2 linked regions of the Anolis sagrei genome follow. The protein of the gene in region 1 interacts with the protein of each later gene in a biochemical or structural test. Links are inferred from orthologs where the notes say so. Each region holds a gene or a part of one and is shown on either strand. Other genes may lie near its edges.

Region 1 (7,486 bases):
GGACAAGACTGCACTAGACCCTCCACATTCACTGGAGTTAAGGACACAGGTAAAAGAAGATAAACTCAAGAAACCCACTCCTCACTTTTTCTTGTTACCAGAGAGATCACCTATTTTGGAATCTCTAAGTCCTTTAGTGTAATCTATTTTCACCGGAAGTTAATCTCACAGTTGTGCTGAAGAACCTAGACATTTCTAGAGAGGTTCTCAGTGGAAATCTTTAAGCGTTCCAGCAAAACCCTGTGGTCACCTTTCAGCAGACATTGAACATAGAGTCACAATGGAGGACCTAGAGAGACCATATTAATCAAATCTGCAGATAATCAAATATGCAAATGTTAAACCTGCAAATGTGGATGATCAACAGAATTGGCAATTTTGGTGTGTCAACAAAACTACCAGGCATATACCCTGTACGGATGAATAATTATTTTGACTGATTCCTATTAGTAGTCTTAACTATTGTATGCCCATTTAATGATTTGTTAAATAGTGAGTCAAGATTTAGAGAAATTCCACTGATTCAACAAATCTACTTTAGTTGGAGTTACCAATAGGATTCAAAGACTTTTTTTTCTTCTGGAGTAGAGCAAAAACCCACTTTCTTAAGATAGCCAAATCACCATATTCTTCAATAATAGTAACCCCCTCATAAAAACATAAATAGTGCTCTGCTTAAAAAATCCCCAAACCTTTCTTCTTAGAAGACACCCGGCACCCCTTTGACCATTTTGGCTTCCTTTTCTTGCATCTTCTTTCCAACTCTATTATATCCTTTTGGAGGAGCGGTGACTACAACTGTACACAGTATTACAAGTGTGGTCATACTAGAGACTCATCAGTGCCATAGGTCCCCACTTTTCTTAGTGCCATACATAAATGCTATGGGTTGTTTCCATCCTGGTTAGTGGGAAAGTCTTAAACAAATTGTTCCCTTCCTGTTTTCCTTCTGATGGATGGAACGTTCCCATAGCCATTTTATTACTTCCACATCTCCAAGATAGGGGAAGCTTGGTTCCAGCACAATTACTTGCCAGTTACTTTAGACCCTGGGGCCAGGAACCAGTTGTAGCCTTCCTACATGGTGAAGCTTAACAGTGGTGCTCAGCAGAGGTGCTGGTAGGCAAGGCATCAGAGCGGCTACTGTACACAACCACCCCAGGGGGATATGAGACAATATCCGGTAGAGTTACTGCTACACCTGGTGGAGGGTGAGGGGAAGGAGTAGAAGTATTTGCTGGATTAGCAGGCATCAAGCTATGCAGTACTTGTTCCTCGTGCTCGGGCTTAGTGGTGGCTGTGAAAGGGCGCATAGTAGTGATGGAGGGTGAGGTGATCCTCCAGAGCAGCTTCTTGAGGGCTTTGCGAAACTCCCTGCGCATCAGGCAGTAGAAGATGGGGTTGAGGCAGCTGTTGGAGTGTGCCAGACACACCGTGATAGGGAAGAAGTATGCCTGAGACAGGAAGTAAGCATGGCTGAAGTGCAGGATGTTGAGCTTGATGAAGATGCCCCAAGTGGTGAGCGCTTGGTTGGGCAGCCAGCAGAGGAAGAAAGACAGCACTACGATAGTCACCGATTTGGTCACTTTGGTCCTGCGTTTAGTGCTCGGGCCACAAGAACTAGCACCCACATGCCTGTCACTGATGAAGCGCACCAACAAGAGATAACAGAGAGTGATGATGCCCAATGGCAACAGAAAACCCAGCAACACCTTCTGGGTTTGGTAGATCCCCAACCAGGTATTGTTGCCTTCACTATCAGGAATGCGGATGAGGCAGAATTCCTCACCAAAGATTGTAGTAGTGGTGGAGAAGATACCAGTGGGCAAGGAAGCTAGAATGGCCAAGATCCATATGAGAACACATAGCCATTTGGCTGGAGAGCAGGCACCCGAGAGCCCATTTTGTCTTCTGGTTTTCAAGGCAGAGGCCACAGCATGGTAGCGGGCGATGCTCATGGCAGTGAGGAAGAAGACACTGGCATACATGTTCATGGCTGTCACATAGGAAAGGATCTTGCACATGGCATTGCCAAAGAGCCAGGTGTAATCCAGAGCATTCTCCACAGCCCAGAAAGGGAGCGTCAGCACAAACTGGAAATCAGTCAGGGCCAGGCAGGTCACAAAGAGGTTGATGGAGGACTTTTTCCATTTGCTCTTCATCAAGTAGAGCACCAAGATGTTGCCCACCAGACCCAGGGCACACACCACGGAGTAGACGATGGAGATGAAGATCCGCAGGACCACAGAGGCGCTCCCTTGCACACCTTCGCTCTTCTCCAAGTTGACCAGGTTCCTCCAGAGCTCTTGCAAGGACTCGTTGGTCCCATTGGCCAGCAGCCTTTCCTCCACAAGGCTGGGAAGGGAATCCAAGAGTTCTCCCATCCTTGTTTCCTTTATGCTGGCTGCCAGGGAGCAGTAGCTGTATTCACAGAGGGCATCCATCCCAGGCAGGGAAGAGAGTACTGTTCCAACAACCCTTTTTATAAAGCACTAACAACCGGGAGACCAAAAAGGGAGGGGCCTCCTTCAGGTGTCTCCCCCAGATTTCCCTGGAGCCAAAAAGAAGCACTTCCAAAAGCGAAGAGACCTTGACTGGGGTTAAGGCTGGAGATCCAAGGTATACTTCAAACGTCCATCACCATGAAGCCTTCAAGTTCAAGAAAAGCAGAGAGGTTCATTTTCATAGTTGTTTCTATGTCGGATGCATAAGAGTGAAGGGAGAGGAATCAATGCTGACTGGGAAAAAAAGTATCCGATCAGTTCCCAAGGAAAATGACGGAGAATCTGATAGCAAGCAAGTGTTTTCCGAGGTGGCTGCAGAAGCTGGTGCAGAAAGCAGGTCGGAAATGGAAGGTGTAGCTCCGCCAAAGTCTGGGAATGTCTCTCTGGAGAGAGACTGCTGAGCAGCCTGTAGCTAGCTACAACTCCTCTCTGCCTTTCCCTCCGGCGGAGAATGACTCCTGCCTCTGTCTCGCTTTCTCTCTCCAGCGGCTGCCTGGAAGGTGCGTGCGCAGCGACGCCCCCGGGAGCTCTCCCTGGTGCTGAAATCCAGCCACCTGGAAAGCGGAGGCTTCGCCCGCCCCTCTCGCCCTCCTTCACGTCCAGATCAGCGCCCACATCTCTGGGGGGACTCGCCCACCCCACCCTCCTTCCTTCATTTTGCCATTAGATTAGTTTAAATGTCTTCCTCTCCTTCCCAAATTCACTCTATCCAGGTATGTCTGACAAGTCTATAGTGATTTTACACAAGGCATGGGTCAACTTGGGACCTCTAGGTGTTTTGGACTTCAACTCCCCCCTTTCCTAACAGCCTCAGGCCCCTTCCTTTCCCCCCTCAGCCAATGATGTTTTGGACTCCCACCATTCCCAACAGCCTCAGGCCCCTTCCTTTCTCCCCTCAGCCGCTAGTATTTTGGACTTCAACTCCCACCATTCCAAACAGCCTCAGTCTCCCTCCTTCCTCCCCCCCCCCCCAGCCACTGATGTTTTGGACTTTAACTCCCACCATTCCTAACAGTCTCGGGCCCTTTCCTTTTCCCTCTCAACCACTGGTGTTTTGGACTTCAACTCCCATCATTCCCAACAGCCTCAGGCCCCTTCCTTTCCCCCTTCCGCCACTGGTGTTTTGGACTTCAACTCCCACCATTCCTAACAGCCTCAGGCCCCTTCCTTTCCCCCCTCAGCCGCTAGTGTTTTGGAATTCAACTCCCATCATTCTCAACAGCCTCAGGCCCCTTTCTTTCCTCCCTCAGCCGCTGATGTTTTTGACTTCAACTCCCATTATTCCTAACAGCTTCAGGCCCCTTCCTTTTCCCCCTCAGCCACTTAAGCAGCTGAGGGGGGAAAGGAAAGGGCCTGAGGCTGTTGGGGATGGTGGGAGTCGAAGTCCAAAACACTTATAGGGCACAAGTTTGCCCATGTCTGCTTAAGAGTGACAGTGGTTGGCAGACCCGCAAACCAAAGAGGGGGACCAAGAGTACTCAACTTTTAACCTTCACATTGCTATAATTGGTTTTTCTCCATATCAGCTATTGAAAACAAAAAAGATTCCATGAAGCAGCAGTGAAGCCACACAAAATGGTGCCATGGGGAAGGAAAAGTAGGTATTTTGGGAAGCTTCAGCAAATGTATTTGGCCTCAAGATCAAAGTTTTCCTACCTGTGTTATAAAGAATCTTCCTCCTTAACTTTTCAGTTTCATCTCTTGAATCGGGTCCCATTTTGTGTGTTCTGCCATTTAGGCCAGTGGAGGCTGGCAGTTCTGAACATTATGTCTGAAATAGGTTTAGTTCCTTAGATAGCTCTCTTAAAATTGGGGCTAAAATCTGGAGTGGATTGACCACCCTACTGATGTTAGATACTTCAGCCACCCTAGATTGGTTCATATTGAAACCAAGAATTTCATCATAATGGCTGCAAAGCTAAGGAGAAAGATTACAGCAAAAGTCCAAAGCTGCAGCTCACTAACTGCCTTCAGAGAAGCACTTATTCTGGCTGGTTTTGTGGTCTGGCCACCTTCATTACTTCACTGAGTAGATTCTGGTAGACAACTATGCTAAAATGTTGTTTTAAAAGTTTATATTGTATTCTGTCGGTTGTCTACACTTTTTATTTGTTCTATTTGAGTTTTTGGGAAAGTGAGCTATATTTTAATTGAATATGTTTCAAATTCTTCAAAACATTTGAAGAATTTTAAAAAATCAACATGGCATGAAAATATTTGAAAAGCTAGTTGCAATTATTAAAGTATATTATTTAACAGGATTTTTATTTTGAAGTGAAAGTAAATAAAATGCAGGGGTCATGTGAAGTTTTTAAAAATCTAAAAGAATGTAGCAGGAATAGGATTATGGCACATCTTTGAATAATCATACAATCCTGTAGTTGATCTATCTACCGCATTGAGTCGCCTGTCAAGGGCTGAAAAATGCAGTATAGAAATAAAGCAAATAAATAAATAAATAAATATCTGTAAATCCTCAACCTGGGGTTCACAACCAGACACTGTGAAGACATCTGCCCTTGTGCTTTGCTACTCAGCTGCTGAGTACGCATGCCCAGTGGGGAGCACATCTCACCATGTTAAAACAGTAGATGTGTCTCTTAATGAGACATACCGCATTATCACAGGATTTCTATGCCCCACACCACTGGAGCAATTATATTGTTTAGCCAGTATTGCACCACTTGATATCCACTGGGAAGTAGCAGCCAATAATGAAAGGGCCAAGACTGTGACATCTCCAGCCCATTCTCTGTTTGGATATCAGTCAGTACGCCAATACCTTAAATCAAGAAATTGTTTTCTAAGATCTACAGAGAAACTCACAGGAACATCCAAAAGTCCAAAAGTGGCAGGCTAAAACCCGAAACCTCAATCCGTGACTGATGCAAGACTCCTTCCTGGGCACACAGAAGACTGGGTGACTTGGAAGGTGCTGAACAGACTGCACTCTGGCACCATGAGATGCAGACCCAGCCTTAAGAAATCAGACTACAAAGTGGAGTCCACAACCTGCGAGTGTGGAGAAGAGCAAACTGCAGACCACCCATTACAATGCAGCCTGAGCCCTGCCACATGCATAATGGAAGACCTTCTTACAGCAACACCAGAGGCATTCCAAGTGCCAACTACTGGTCAAAGGACATTTAGTATAATGCCAAGTTTTAAAACTTAGTGTGTTTTTTAAATACATTAGAACTGTACCCTCAGTTTGGTTCCGACACGATAAATAAAAAGTTGCTCTATGCTATGGGAAGGAATGTTTCTAATTGTTTTTTTTTTGACTTTAGGTGTAAAGCCTTCTTTACGTCTAAATCCAAACCCTTACAAATGCAAATGTTGTCACATTATGGGCACAATACTTATCTGGAAATACACCTACTTATCTGGAAATAAATGCAATTGCAGTCATTGAGTAGGCAACATGTGTAGGATTGTAATTCAAGGCTGCAATACTATACTCATGTACCTGTGAGTAAGCATCATTCAACTAAGTGGAACTTGCTTTCATGTGATTCTTGAGAACTTCCTAATGGTGAGAGCTGTTCAGCAGTGGAACTCTCTGCCGCTGAGTGTGGTGGAGGCCCCTTCCTTGGAGGCTTTTAAACAGAGGCTGGATGGCCATCTATTGGGGGTGCATTTAATACGATTTTCCTACTTCTTGGCAGGGGGTTGGACTGGATGGCCCACGAGGTCTCTTCCAATTCTATGATTCTATGTTTCTATGAATGTAACAGGAGTAGGATTATGGCACATGTTTGATGAATCATAAAATCCTGTGGACTGCTTGTACTTGCTCTATGATATGGGAAGGAATGTTTCTCATTGTTTCTTTTGACTTTAGGCTTAAAGCCTTCTTTAGGTATAAATTCAAACCCTTAGAAATGCAAATGTTGCCAATATTATGGGCACAATACTACACCTACTTGTCTGGAAATAAGTGCCACTACCTTCATTGGACTTACTTTCATTCATTGTTCTTAACTCCTACCTTCAAGGGTGGCTGAAGTATCTGACATCAATGGGGTAATCTATCCACTCCAGATTTTATTCCAAGAGCTAGCTAAGGTACTGAAACTACTTCAGACACAATGTTCAGAACCTTTGACAATTCCTTCCAAGTTGGGGTTAAAACCAACAATGGATTACCTAATCCCCTAATATCAGAAACACCAGCATCCATTGACCGGAATGGCAGAATACACAAAATAAGACCTGATTCAATGGATGAAATTGAAAAGTTAGGGAGAAAGATTATTTAAAACATTGGTAGGAAAACTTTGATCTTGAGGCCAATTACAGCCGGTGAAGCTTCCCAAAATGCCCATACTTCCTTAACCCATGGCACCATTTTGCATGGTCTCACTGGTTCTTTATGGGTTCTCTCCTATTTTCAATGTCTGAAATGCTGAAAGGTTTAATCATAGCAATATGAAACTTAAAGTTAAAAGCTGGGTCCTTTTGGTCTCCTTCTTTGATTTGCAGGTCTGTGAACCCCTGGAATGTCACTCTTAAGGCAGACTCTGAAAGTAATTTTCCCATCCTTAATCTGCCGGACAACAGTCAGACTTTCAGTGGATGAAGCAGTAACAATTATTTCCTGGTCCAAAAACCATAACATCACCACTATGTTGAATATCTCACAAGAGATATGGTTCTGCATTATATTCTCCATTTGGGCTCAAGCTTCTCAAGTCTCCAATAAACCAAATAGACAACTTGTTTTCCTTATTGTCCCAGGATGCTGTGGCAAAGACCTCCAGGGGACAGTGGCTGCCAGCAGGCCTTGCTGATTTTCTGGGAGATGTAGCAGGCCAAGACCTCCTCTAGGCTTCGCCACCAGAGAGGCTCCTTCCTTCCTTCCCAGTCCTTAATCTAAGATAGTCATATTTTAACAGTTAAAAGCAGGTTGTACTACCTATGGCTCTCCAGAGGACTTGTACTTCAACTCCCAGCATTCTTGTCCATTGCACAAGATTGCT
Region 2 (7,454 bases), about 120 Mb from region 1:
GTTCACCTACAATCACAGAGCATTCTGAACCCCACCAACGATAGAATTGGGCTAAAACTCCAACACAGAACAGCCATGTGGGCCACAGCAACACGTGGCAGGGGACAGCTAGTTCTATATAAAAACATGAACTGGAAGGAGGTAAAAGAAGTCCAATCCATTCTATAGGTCATACTGGGGGGAAAGAAATTAAAATACTTAGGGGTGTATATACCTAAAAATTTAAATAATATAATTCAGATAAATTATAACCAACTATGGAAGAAAACAAATCAACAATTGGAAAAAATGGAATTGGGATATAACAACAAGGGTGAAGGCATATAAAATGATGATGCTGTCCAAATTTTTGTACTTATTTCAATGCCTCCCATGTAGCATTCAACCTAAAATAATAAAGAAATAGGATAACTCAATTAAAACATGGGCAGAAGGTTCTAGTAAAACCAGAATTGCAAATTCAATATTTTTTTCTCCACAAGAAAATGGAGTCTAGGGAACACCTTACCTCCAGAATTACTATGAAGCCTGTTAACCGGCTAGATTACTAGAATTAGATATTGGAGAGCCCAAAAAATGGGTTAGGATAGAGAAATTAACAAATGGATGGGAATATGGATCTTGCATTATAGGGAAAATTGGGGGGGAATGACCTAAAAAACACAAAAGGAGGCCTTTTGTTATCAACAATGACCTGTTGAGGATAACAGCAGAACAAACTCCCACTAATAGACAAGCTCCCAATAGGCTCCATAGACAACAGAAAACCCCAGCCATATCGCAATATGCTAAAGAAACTGGAACATAATGAAATAACAAAGATTGAGGACTTACTGAAACCAGACGGAACTGTAAATTTAAAAAACAAAAACCCAAAATTTAAAAACCACAGAGCTTATTCACTGGGTAAGGTGAGCAGAAGTGCAGTGAAGTGTGAAAGTGATTCATCTAGTAGTACTATGTTTCCATTTGCTTATATCAGGGATTCTTAAACCTTTTCCACCTGCGAACCTTTTCCACCCAAGAAATTTTTATGTGATCCCAGGTATATCTATATAAACAAAAATGTAATGTTTGTTTGTGGGATTAACATAACTCAAAAGCCACTGGGCGAATTGACACCAAATTTGGACACAATACACCTATCAGGCCAATAAGTGATCATCGGTTGCAAAAACATTGAAAAACACAGCAGAAGAGACTTAAAAAGCCAAAAAACAAAAAAAAATACATTACGGGTTTTGTTGCCCATTGCACAACATGAAATTGTACAACATACAGTTGCAGTGTAGAGTTGTAACATGCAAATTGGTTTGGCAAGTGCCATGAGAAAGCACAGCATGCAGCATCACTGTATGCACAACTCTGCTTCCACCACTATCTATATAAATAAAGATGTAATGTTTGTTTGTGGGACTAACATAACTCAAAAACCACTGGGCAAATTGACACCAAATTTGGACACAATACACCTATCAGGCCAACGAGTGACCATCACTCATAAAAACACTGAAAAACACAGTAGAAGGGACTTAAAACAGCAAAAAAAAAACATTACAATGCATGCACAAAACCACATATATATATTATATACACACACAAGACACATACATAGACTGGGCCACAGCAACGCGTGGCAGGGAAACAGCTAGTTAGAATATATATCGACATCTTTCATTGCTGCCAGGTTCCCTATAGCCATTTTACACCTACCTCTTCGCTGCACCATCGCCGCTGGCTGCATTCAGAACTGTCCTCCATTGCGGCTTCCTCAACACCCGCCATCTTTGATGACAACTTAGGAAGACTGGTCTATGAACCTGGGCTACTTTGGGAGTGGGAGGGTGACTTCACTTTGCATTTTTTTTATATACTACCAATCTAATGAGCCCCCGGTGGCGCAGTGGGTTAAACCCCTGTGCCGGCAGAACTGAAGACTGACAGGTCGCAGGTTCGAATCCGGGGAGAGGTGGATGAACTCCCTCTATCAGCTTCAGCTCCTCATACGGGGACATGAGAGAAGCCTCCCACAAGGATGATAAAACATCAAAACATCCAGGCGTCCCCTGGGCAACGTCCTTGCAGACGGCCAATTCTCTCACACCACGAGTCACTTCTGACATGACAAAAAAAAACCCCAAAACAAACAAAAAACAAAACAAAAAACAATCTAATAACTTGTAAGCCAGTCTAATAATTTGTACAAATAACCTGTAAGCTGCTCTGAGTCCCCTTTGGGGTGAGAAGGGCAGCATAAATATGTTGTAAATAAATAAATAAAAAATAAATATATTGTTTGGTGGCCAATAATTCACAATTTATGCATGTTTAGGTCACCAACAGGATGCTGGCCAATAAGGATATGATCTTTAGGCTTCTGTCTTTTCTAATTTCTCAGCTAGAGAAGAAGTTGGAAAGGTTATATTTTTGAACGACAATTTCCAGAACCTCCTGACCAACATGACCACACTGTGTGGGAGATTCTGGGATTTGTACCCCAAACAGGAGATTCCCCAAGCTCTGATCTAGACCCAGTTCCCCAGCCGTCCCCTAGCAATTTCCACTCACCTGCCCGTCTCCAGCGAGATCCCCCGCAGGTGAAGATAACCGCTCGGATGAACTCTCTGCCGCACAATTTCACGCCGTAGGGAGGTGTCCTGGCCTCACTCCCCAGCCTCATCTCCAAGAGCAGCACCCCCAGGACCAAAGCAAAGAGAAACTTGTGCATGGTTGGGCACAGACAAGATTGGAAAGTAAAGGTCTGCAGGCACACAGCTCCCGATAGCCTGCTGCTTCTCTCCGTGAGTCTTCTTTATAGCAGTCAGATCTATGCGCAAGGTAGCCAAGGATGTCCATCCACGTTATCTACCCAATTATCAGCAGAGAACAGGTGAAGACCTTTCTTGGACACTGGCGGTGGGGGTGGTGGGCAGTGATTCTTGCGTCGACTGTGCCAACTAGTCAGAGATAACCTTTTGCTTGTTATCATCATAGCGAGTAAGGAATCATTACCTGGCCTTTCACAGAGTACACATTGAAAAGCCAGGTGCATCGAGACAGAGCCATGGAAAAGCAAATGCTGGGAATAGACAATGACGCAGAGCTTGGAAAAGTTCATTTTGTGGGCTACAACTCCCTAAATCTCTCAGACAACTCTTGAGAGCTCAAATCCTTAAAAAAGGAAACCTTCCCAATCACTGCTGCTGCTCCAAAAGGCTTCGTATTATGAGTCATAGTGGGAGCTGGGTTTTGTTTGTTCTCTCACTAACAGGTTTGACGTTCTGGAAGTTGTCACCTGAAAAAGTAACTTTTCTCATTCAGACATGACTATTGCCAGACTACTGGCACTTTCAAAGCTACCACATCCTTTTTTAACTTTAAACTATTACATTTGGCCCGGCCATAGGTTTTTAAATCCTTGTGTGTTATTATTTATATGTGATTTATATTAATTGTATTATTTTTGTTTATTGCTTTCTTGTTTTATTGATGTGTAGTTGGGCTTGGCCTCATGTAAGCTGCTCCGAGTCCCTTGGGGAGATTGTGGCGGGGTATAACTAAAGTATTATTATTATTATTATTATTATTATTATTATTATTCTCTATTCTTGTTCATTCGTTCAGTCGTCTCCGACTCTTCGTGACCTCATGGACCAGTCCACGCCAGAGCTCCCTGTCAGCCGTCACCACCCCCAGCTCCTTCAAGGTCAGTCCAGCCACTTCAAGGATGCCATCCATCCATCTTACCCTTGGTCGGCCCCTCTTCCTTTTGCCTTCCACTTTCCCCAGCATAATTGTCTTCTCTAGGCTTTGCTGTCTCCTCATGATGTGGCCAAAGTACTTCAACTTTGTCTCTAGTATCCTTCCCTCCAGTGAGCAGTCGGGCTTTATTTCCTGGAGGATGGACTGGTTGGATCTTCTCGCAGTCTAAGGCACTTTCAGAACTTTCCTCCAACACCACAGTTCAAAAGCATCGATCTTCCTTCGCTCAGCCTTCCTTAAGGTCCAGCTCTCACATCCGTAGGTTACTACAGGGAATACCATGGCTTTGACTAGGCGGATCTTTGTTGCCAGTCTGATGTCTCTACTCTTTACTATTTTATCGAGACTGGACATTGCTCTCCTCCCAAGAAGTAAGCGTCTTCTGATTTCCTGGCCACAGTCTGCATCTGCATTAATCTTTGCGCCTAGAAATACAAAGTCTGTCGCGGCCTCCACGTTTTCTCCCTCTATTTTCCAGTTGTCAATCATTCTTGTTGCCATAATCTTGGTTTTTTTATGTTTAGCTGCAACCCAGCTTTTGCGCTTTCTTCTTTCACCTTGATTAGAAGGCTCCTCAGCTCCTCCTCGCTTTCGGCCATCAGAGTGGTGTCATCTGCATATCTGAGGTTGTTAATGTTTCTTCCAGCAATTTTCACCCCAGCTTTGCATTCATCAAGCCCCGCACATCGCATGATGTGTTCTGCATACAAGTTGAATATGTTGGGTGAGAGTATGCAGCCTTGCCGTACGCCTTTCCCAATCTTGAACCAGTCTGTTGTTCCGTGGTCAGTTCTGACTGTTGCTACTTGGTCCTTGTACAGATTCCTCAGGAGAGAGACAAGGTGGCTTGGGATGCCCATCCCACCAAGAACTTGCCACAATTTATTATGATCCACACAGTCAAAGGCTTTAGAATAGTCAATGAAGCAAAAATAGATGTTTTTCTGAAACTCCCTGCCTTTCTCCATTATCCAGCGGATATTGGCAACCTGGTCTCTCTATTCTTATAGCCACATTATGTTACACCAAGCCAATACAAGAAGGTGAACTGCCTTCTTTCTATTTGTGCTTTTTTATACTAGGATACTATCTGCCCTTGTTTTAATCAAGGTTGGAGAGCTATTGTAATAGTCCTTCAGATGGCAAACTTCCTATCAAGGCCCTTCCACACAGCCATATAACCCACCCAGAATACCAAGGCAGAAAAACTCACAATATCTGTATGGTTATCTGAGTCCATACTGCCATATATTCCAGTTCAAAGCAGAAAATGTGGGATTTTATTCAGCTGTGTGGAAGGGGCCTCAGTCTTAACCAACTGAGTAAGTGGTGAAATATAATGGTAATATCAGGGCACCACATCAATATTCATATTCCTGCCTTGTTGATACATTTACATATTTATAGGTATAGTTCACCTTTATGACACTAAATAATAAGCTAAATATGACAAGACAGGAACACATATATCAGCATTGTTGTTGTTTTTTATTCGTTCAATTGCTTCTGACTCTTTGTGACCTCATGGACCAGACCACGCTAGAGCTCCCTGTCGGCCGTGGCCACCCCCAGCTCCTTCAAAGTCAAGCCAGCCACTTCAAGAATACCATCCATCCATCTTGCCCTTGGTCAGCCCCTCTTCCTTTTTCCTTCCATTTTCCCAAGCATCGTTGCCTTCTCTAAGCTTTCCTGTCTTCTCATAATGTGGCCAAAGTACCGTATATTCTGGCATATAAGATTACTTTTTAACCCAAGAAAATATTCTCAAAAGTCAGGGGTCATCTTATACACAGGAGTCGTCTTATACGTAGGAGTCATCTTATATGCTGGAGTAGCCTTATGCATGAGAGTCATCTTATATGCGGGAGAAGCCTTATACACTGGAAGTAGTCTTATAGAGCGGGTGCTGAAACTTCCAATCCAGATTGGAGAATCTGTGGTTGCTGCATATGGTGAGGGGAGCTCAAAAATGGCAACGGCCACGTCCCTGCCTTATGCAGCAACTGTAAGAAATCATTAAGGGCGACGTCGTACAAGTATGGTAGAAGAAAATCCATTCATCAGGATTCGTGGACTTAATGCAGTCCCGATGTTGAGGTGAAGGGGCACCTCACCTGGAAGGTGTAAGTGAAGGGTGGAGCAAGCTTCAGGCGTCTGGGTTGCCCAGGGTATGGAAAAAAGAGATCGACAGGCTCTGGGCCCAGAAAAACACAACTCTTTTACCTGTCTGGCCCACCCTTGCATCCTATTACCGTACCTCCTCCTCTGCCTCTCTGATCTCGCTCCTGAAGACTGCAGTGAAGTGGTGCAGGTGCGCAGATGTGAGATCTGAGAGGCAGAGAAGGAGGTACAGTAATAAGAAAATTACCATATTGAAATAAAATCTGATGCTTTTAAAATTTTTATTTGGTGTGTGTTGGAAGAGGGGTAGTCTTATACGGCGAGTATGTCCCAAACTCTATATTTTAATTGGAAAAGCTGGGGGTCATTTTATACTACGGGGAATACCATTGCTTTGACCATGTGGATATATATCAGCATGGGGCCCTATTATTTGCAATATATCTTATCAAATGCCCACTTTGAGAGCCATCATGATATAGTGGTTTGAGTGCTGAAGTACTGGGTCCAATCTATATAAATAAAAATGTAATGTTCATTTGTGGGATTAACAGATTTCAAAAACCAGTGGACGAATTGACACCAAATTTGGACACAAGTCTCCTAACAACCCAATGTATGTCCTTCACTCAAAAAAATTGATTTTGTCATTTGGGAGTTGGAGTTGCTGGGATTTATAGTTCAGCTACAATCAAAGAGCATTCTGAACCCCACCAACGATGGAATTGAACCAAACTTGGCACACAGTTCTCCCATGACCAACAGAAAATACTGGAAGGGTTTGGTGGGCAGTGTCCTTTGGTTTTGGAGTTGTAGTTCACCTACATCCAGAGATCACTATGCACTCAAACAATGGTGGATCTGGACCAAACTCTACACGAATACTCAATATGCCCAGATGTGAACACTGGTGGAGTTTGGAGAAAATAGAATCTTGACATTTGGGAGTTGTAGTTGCTGGGATTTATAGTTCACTTACAAATCACAGAGCATTCTGAACCCCACCAACGATAGAATTGGGCAAGCCTCCCACACAGAACCCCATGTGGGCCACAGCAACGTGTGGGAGGGGACGGCTAGTTTAACTATAAAAACCCACTGGGTGACTTTGGGCAAGTCATATTCTCGGCCCCAACTTTATCCTCGAAAAGAGCCTCATGGGGCTGTTCAAGGTTCACAGTCAGAGAGACTGTGCGAGGGTCCCAAATATTCATAGGAACAATGGGGACTAGGACCTGGATCTCCCAAGCATTCGTCTGAAGCTTCTTTCAACTACACACCTATAGTGCTATGATTCTCCTTTAACTGCAATGGGGTTTGTTCTTTGGCTGCATCAGTTTGAAGCTAGCGTCTAATATCATTAAATGGTCAGTGTTGATGAGGCTGGAGGAACTCTTTTTTTTTTACCCACATTTGGGACACTCACATTGACACTGAACATGTAGAATCTGGAAAGTTTTGCAGTATTTCTCACTTCAGCCACTGGAGTATGTCTGCTTTCTTCTCTATATGTGCTCTTCCACAGGCTTAGTTTGGCTGTATTTTGTTAGACAAGGTTGTCAGTTTAGACA

The links. The genes of interacting proteins can lie anywhere in the genome.
Region 2: the proteins of RXFP3 (region 1) and RLN3 form a complex in vitro, tested with the Homo sapiens proteins (2 studies listed by BioGRID, with this or other methods). The link is inferred for Anolis sagrei from reciprocal best matches to the Homo sapiens genes RXFP3 and RLN3.

The regions. Positions count from the first base shown.
Region 1 is NC_090022.1:280,433,640-280,441,125, forward strand, and holds the start of RXFP3 (relaxin-3 receptor 1), read right to left. Parts: upstream 3,011-7,486; 5' UTR 2,445-3,010; coding exon 1,092-2,444; 3' UTR 1-1,091. UniProt on the Homo sapiens protein: Receptor for RNL3/relaxin-3. Binding of the ligand inhibit cAMP accumulation.
Region 2 is NC_090022.1:159,937,208-159,944,661, forward strand, and holds the start of RLN3 (relaxin-3), read right to left. Parts: upstream 3,010-7,454; 5' UTR 2,729-3,009; coding exon 2,569-2,728; intron 1-2,568. UniProt on the Homo sapiens protein: May play a role in neuropeptide signaling processes. Ligand for LGR7, RXFP3 and RXFP4.